Arabidopsis thaliana: one gene and its partner. The protein of the gene in region 1 interacts with the protein of each later gene in a pairwise test. Each region holds a gene or a part of one and is shown on either strand. Other genes may lie near its edges. The genes, in order: AT1G02040 and AT5G43540.

The links.
Region 2: the proteins of AT1G02040 (region 1) and AT5G43540 interact in a two-hybrid assay, tested with the Arabidopsis thaliana proteins (one large-scale study listed by BioGRID).

What each region holds. Positions count from the first base shown.
Region 1 is NC_003070.9:357,071-361,079, forward strand, and holds AT1G02040 (C2H2-type zinc finger family protein), read right to left. Parts: upstream 2,009-4,009; coding exon 1,034-2,008; 3' UTR 836-1,033; downstream 1-835. Other genes in the region: LAP6 (Chalcone and stilbene synthase family protein), read right to left, coding at 2,094-3,079, 3,170-3,371; AT1G02060 (Tetratricopeptide repeat (TPR)-like superfamily protein), read right to left, coding at 3,848-4,009.
Region 2 is NC_003076.8:17,495,227-17,498,429, forward strand, and holds AT5G43540 (C2H2 and C2HC zinc fingers superfamily protein), read left to right. Parts: upstream 1-1,628; 5' UTR 1,629-1,766; coding exon 1,767-2,180; 3' UTR 2,181-2,468; downstream 2,469-3,203. Other genes in the region: AT5G43550 (F-box associated ubiquitination effector family protein), read left to right, coding at 2,666-3,037.

The DNA of each region.
Region 1 (4,009 bases):
TAACAAAAATATTTTCCCAAGCATGTCTAAATAATTTTAACCTTATCTCGTTGAGACGTTATTACCTCATACTAGACCAAAATTTCCTTGTATCAATAGCGTGCAACTCTTGTACGTGTCTATATGTGTCAATTGTTGTTAAAGTACATGTCCTCAAGTTAATTGATTAAAGATCTTTTGAGTGGCCCAAAGAGTCATATACTTTGCTTGAGCTTTTCTCAAAGAGAAATTGGAGGATATCAGTTGACATTAATCAAATTCCCCCCGCTAATCCTAGTTTTCAGCTGATGGTTGGTGGGCTTCCTAAAGTCAAAAGTTCATAACTTGTAATGGCAACCACTCATTAATAACATATATGCGAGATAAAAATGACTCTTTTCTTGTAATCGTATTGAGAGAAATGACCCTTTCCTTGCAATCGGTGCTTAATTAAGAACCACCAAAATTATCAATTCCGTTGAGGCGTTGACTCATGTTCATGTGTTTTCAGTGTAGTAAGAGCCTTTTGATTATTAACATGATTAAAATATATATGGGCATATCACGAGAGTTATTTGATACGTGATATTCGTTTATTTATTTGATATTTTTCTTCTTTGTGATTTCTTAATTTCGAATTTACAATTTCTTTTCTGGAAAACTTCAAAATTATATCTCCTTCTTGATGGCTTAACAAGTAAATTATATCACTCTGTAAGATTACAAACATGAAATTAAAACATTTGCGCTTATATGAGCAAGGAGCCCTTGGTTATCTTACTTTATTCTCAACGTATATAATAATAAAAAATGATACAATTATCTATCTTGTATATTAACTAGTTGTGAAACTTAATTTCTTACTTATATCTTTGTATATATTGGACTAGAACTCCTTATGGCTCTCTAAATCTGCAGAAGACGCCAAGTGTAATTCATATAAATCCATAAACTCTATATATAAACTCATGCACTTAATTGTATATATGTAAAGAATATAAACGAATGAAAGTTAAAAGAATATAATTAGCAACTTAATTAAATTAGTCAGTCGTCAAGACCAATCACCACTTGCGAGTTTTAACCACGAAGATGAAGTAGCGTTGTGATTATTGCCACCACCATCTCTCTCGATCATCCCTACGCTCATGGCCGTTGGATCGACGGAATATTCTTGGCAAGCTAAGTTGAGATCGAGAGATGGTTGATCTAACGGCTGCGGTCTGCCGACGGAATGATGATGATCGTGGAGCGACGTCATACGAAGATAATTGGAAGGTGTTAGCCAATGGCATCGCTTGTGGCCTCCTAAGGCCTGTCCCGAAGAGAAGACGCGATGGCAGATGGTGCATTCGTGAGCGTTGGATCTCTTTCTTGCGATATGAGCCGTTGATTTGTCTTCCTCATCCTCCTCCTCATCTTCGTCCTCGTCGTTGTCGTCGTCGTCTTCTTTGTATTCCTCTTCCTCTTCCTCTTCTTTATCTTGAGAGGCAAAACAACCCTTCACTTTCTTGTGGCTTGCCCTGTGTCCACCCAATGCCTGATGCGACGTGAACACCTTCTTGCAAGCTTTGCATTGGAAAACCTGGGCGGTTTTTTGCTTTTTGACGGTTTTGCCCTTACCATGTCCATGTTGTTTATGCTGATCACCACCATGCGCATCCCCTGAATTGGACAACAAGACAAGACAGTTGGCAAGCTCTTCGTCTTCGTTTGGAGACAAGTTAAGATGATGATGCTGAGTGGACATCGATCTCTCCCTCTTCCACGGAGGACGACGTGACATGTTGTCCTCATCGTGTTGTCCACGACTGAACATTACGAAATCAATGCATGGTGAGTTCATGGCTCCATGCATGTGTGTGTTCAAAGTGTTTTGGTGTGAATTAAAAAGAAGAAAGCCCTTGTTTTTAGTGGAAGTAACGGGTTTGGTGTCTTCTTGTTCATGTGGTTCCAAGTAGCTAAGCACTTGCTTTAACGACACGTGGTGCAACTTTTGACTTTTTCCAACATTCCTAGTCACATGCATCTATTCTATATAGATGTTGTTTAACAAATAATACTCTCATTTCATGCTTACAATATGTTTATAACCCAAATGTAAATTATAACAATTAGGAAGAGGTGAGGCTGCGGATGAGAAGGCCTTCGAAGGTGATTCCAGGTCCGAAAGCTAAGCCAAGTCCCCACTCTTGTGCTGCGTCACCTTTCTTCTTCAGCTCATCTCTCATATACTCCATCACATACAGTATCGTGTTGCTGCTCACGTTCCCGTAATCCACCAACGCCCTTCTGCTGCTCTCCAGCTTCTCTTTCTCCAGCTTCAGTTTTGTCTCCAGACGGTTCAGAATCGCAGGTCCTCCTGGATGAACAGCCCAGAACATGTCATTGAACTCCATCGACTCATCGCCAGCCTTTCCCATCAGCTTCTTGCAGAACTCTTCTATGTTCTCCTCTATCTTCTGCGGGAGGTCTCGTCCAAGCTTGAAGTTTATGCCTTCCTCAGTCAACCTCCCCTCGATCACGTTCTGTGTCCCCGGCAAGAACTGCTGAACCGCATAGTGCAGCTCCATGAAAGGAGCTTCACACTCTCTCGGGTCAGCTCCGATGATCACAGCAGCTGCACCATCTCCAAACAGAGCAGCTCCAACTAGGTCGTACGGACGCGCTTTGTTTGGTGGCCGAAATCCGAGAATGGTGGTTTCAGAGGTTGTGAGCAGAACACGGCTTCCGGGGTTGTTCTCAGCAATGTCTTTGGCCACACGGAGGCCAGTCACACCTCCGTAGCATCCCAGAAAATACAGCATCACTCTGTTCACGTCATTCCTCAGGCCTAGCTTTGCTGAGAGGTAAAGGTCACCACCGGGTAAACGGATCTCGCTTGAGGAAACGTAGACAATGTGAGTGATGTCTTCCACTGGCCTTCCCCATTCCTTGATGCAACCTAAACTGGCTTCCAATGCCATTTCCACAACCGCCTCGTTTGCAATTTCAAGTCTTTGCTTGATTGTTGGTGAACCCTCTGTTGTTAGCTCAGGGTATTTAGCCAGTATCTCTCGCGTCAACACAGTGTATCGCGTCTTCACGGTTGTCGTTTTGCCTAAACAACAGCACAAAACATTAGAAAGCTTTCAGCATTTCACAAGAGAGCATAGCTGTCTGAAAAAAATATAAAGAGACTGAGGCTTACACAAGTGTTCCAGCTTTTCTTTGATAAACGCGTCATCACATTTGGTGTCTCGTAGAAATCCTTCCACTAGATTCTCCTGAGGAACGACTTGGCTTGGGAAGGCTTTGCCAAGAGCAAGCAGTGTTGCCTTTCCGGCATTTGCGACACGCCTTGTGGATTTGCTGCTTAGCTTCTCAACACCATTCATCCTAGAATTCGACATTTCTTTTCAAGCGCAGAAGGAAAAAACTCAATTAGATATTGGGAAGAAAGATGGTGGATGCAGAATATCAGCAAATGGCAAAGGATTATAAAGGAAGGGTTGAGGGTTTTCTTGGGGAGAGTTTGGTGCTGAAGAGTGAAGATCATGTAAAGAGAGAAACGGTTATTTTATTAGGGTTTGGTGATTCTTTGGCCTGTGTTGGTTAGAAATGCAAAAAACACCATGAAACCTATTTTCCCGGGATAAGTAATATAAGCCTAATCTACTTAGGAAATAGGTACCATGAAGGTGAAAGTTAGGAACAGAGAGTTGCAACGTCCATAGAGACCTGTAACAGACACGATGAATACAAACTTGCTTAATTGCTGAGGGCCAAAAATTTTACAATTGCCAATGGATAATTTTAGACACAGAATTGAAAACGGAACAAAGAGAGAGGATCCTGTTTACCAGAAACCAGATGCACGGTCTATCCTTCATTCTAATACAGAGCAATCATCTGATTCTCTCAATGTAGCCATCCTCTTTGACACAAACTGAAGTTCTTCCCACTTTCCAGCAGCCTCTAAGGCATTCCTCAAAACCACGTGGCAGCTAAGCTGTTGGTGGTTTCCTAGTTCTACTAATTCATTGTACAA
Region 2 (3,203 bases), on another chromosome or scaffold:
TATATTGTTCCGTAACAAACTACGTGTAAAATACGGCACTGCCAAAGCTACATAATCAAATTTCAGAAGCCAGATTTTTCCTATGCAAATATTGTATGAGTATGATATAGCTACAATCTACATAAGCTACTTAACAAATATGTTAGGTTTTGTCGATTTTCGTCTATCCGATGAATCTAGTCATGAATCAAAAAGTACTAGTGTATACAAATATATTTGCAGGTTGCAACCAAATTATATAGAGAGACGAACATCCAGCCTGGAAACGTAATGTAAGAAAAAAGGAAAAAAAAAATCACTAAAGTAACAAAAAGTGCACCAGCCGGGAATTGAACCCGGGTCTGTACCGTGGCAGGGTACTATCATGCCACTAGACCACTGGTGCTTTTTGCGGAATGTTGTGGAACTAGGATTCTAAACTAATGATGGAAAGCAGACCAAACCCAAACAAACCGGATTAGGTGTACATGTAACGTAATCAATCAATGATGTGGCAGTAATTAAACGAATCAGTGTACTCGAGTTGCAATCAAATGACATCTTCATTTTTTCGAGCTGTTTAATCAAGAAAATACTATTTACGATCACCTAAGCTAATATTTATTTTTAGCCCATAAACTAAAGTTTAGTTTTGTACTCTATTATGTCTATGTTATCTTTATCTCTTTGATAAATTTTTGAAAGTTTATGACTTATGAATTATGATAATTCGTTTTCATCAAAATATTGTTTTTGTTTTAGTAAAAAATGATCGTTGTGATATTTTGTAGTAGAAAAAGTAAGCAGTCAATCGAGACCTAACTTTTAAAAACGTTTTGCGATAAAAGGTTAGATTATTACAAGACAAACACAAAAGGAATATTTTATAAATTAAAATATAATAACACGATTGATTTAAACCACTCCCTTGCCTTTTAATTGTCATCATTTCTTGTAATTTTGTGGACTAATTGAAGAGTTTAGTTGAAGTTGATTTGGATTTCAGTTAACTGGATTAATGTGAGGATTGGTTTTATCTGATTTATAATCAAATCTTTAATTTGTTATGTCTCTTTCGATATATATTTTGTTTTATGTTCGTTGCTTTGTGTTTATATACGAGTATTGTATTGTAAACAAAACTACTAGAGACGATAGTAAATATTGTTTTACTGATTAAAAAATCATAATCTTATAATTTATTCTACATGTGTATTTTTGTTGGAAACAAAACTGTAAAAGTTTTAGATAATTGTGAGATCATCACTACTCACAAAATAAATATATTTTTTCACTGATTTACTAGAGAACCAATTGAATAACATGGTCTAAACGTAATTTTTGAGGAGCAATACCTTCTAGTGGTATAAATTTATTTTGCCTCTTAGATTTAGCTATATAAACTTTCTATTATTAGCAAGTTAATAATTAATAATAGGCTACATTTATAATCTAGATATAAATAATACATGAGAATAAATAAATAAATAAATCCTTCAAATACGGTGATAGTTATAAGAAAAAATTGGTACATAAATATACGAAGAAAGAAAAAGCCAAATCATGTCTTCCAAACATATAAACACACATCAAGAAAAGTATTATTAGTCTTATATATAAATTTTGTTTCCTCTATCATATAAACCATCCTTATATGCACTCAACACATTTGACAACTCTTTCATCTTTCATCTTCCCTTAAAGTCCTATATTTCGGGTATCAATATTTCTTCAAAATATATATCCCTCGATCGATCGAGGCAACACACACATATATATATATATATATGGAGTGTGAGAGATCATCGTCGTCCACGTCATCAGAAACCGGAGCAGTCAGGCACCGTCGTACGTCGTCGTCGTCAGTCTCCACCGTGACGAGACGAATGTACGAGTGCACTTTCTGCAAAAGAGGTTTCACAAACGCACAAGCTTTAGGTGGTCATATGAACATCCATCGACGTGACCGTCTCAACAAGGCCAAGGTGCAAAACGATGCTGACGTGGCACTCTCGCAAACTCATAGATGTTTCCACGTGGCGTCTGACCTTGGAGGCTACGAGCAAGTAGACTCCGTCGTGTTGAGGACGACGACCTCGAACTACATCCAACACTTACGAATCGGCTCGATGGCTACAAGGAGAGAAAACGTCGTCGTTGAAGGAAATGAAATCGATTTGGAGCTGCGTCTTGGCTTATGATCATCAACTTCTTACCCTCTATAGATGTATAATAATACGTTTTTTTGGTGTATATTATATGGTTTTCGAGGTTGATATATGTAATCTAGGAAAGCGTATATGAGACTATAATATGTCAAGGTAAGATATTTTTGGTGGGTATTTATTTATGCATGTTTTGTGATCTATCTATGAGATATATATAAATCTTTTATCTTATATCATATTATTTTCATTATAGTTTTTTTCCATAACATAGTGAAATCTGTCCCATAATTAATTAATTGTCCAGATCTTCGCATTCTATATATAAAAAAATTTGGCAAATAGAAAATCTGTCCCCTGTAAACGGATTAATATGCTGCACCCGTGGTTCTAGGATTGCGGTTTTTAATCCCACCACTGGCGGTTTGGTGGTATTGCCCCATGTTAAAGCCAACGGAAGAGACATCTACACACGTCTCGGATACGATCCTGTCGATGATCAATACAAAATTTTGTGTGTGATGATGTTCCTTAAGTGTGACGACGGCCATAGACAATACGTTATAGAACAAGAGCATCTGGTTTTATCACTAACATCACACTCATCGTCGTGGAGAAAGATCGAGATCTCGGGAGATGCTTACTCCTACTTAGAAGGTGGGATTTGCATCAATAGTGCTATATACTATGGTGTTGGACATACAAAGATAGCTAGATTTAATATTAGATCCGAGAAGATAATGTTTATTCAAGCACCAGAGGATTATAATGCAATCTCATGTTATTCAACCCTTACAAATTACAAAGGAAAATTAGCATGTGTAAGCTATGACTCCTATTGTGAATCTAAGTTGCGTGTATGGATTCTACACGATGTTGAGAAAGAAGAATAGTCAAGCATCATGACTTGTGTTGTGCCTTGTGACAAGGAGCTATCTTTGTGCAGTGGAGAGAGTCATAACAACGAGGTTGTAGTGGTATCTAGATGCTTAAAGTCATCTAAGCACTTTTTTGTTTACTATTTCGATATGGTCAGAGAGAGTATCATCAGAAGAATTG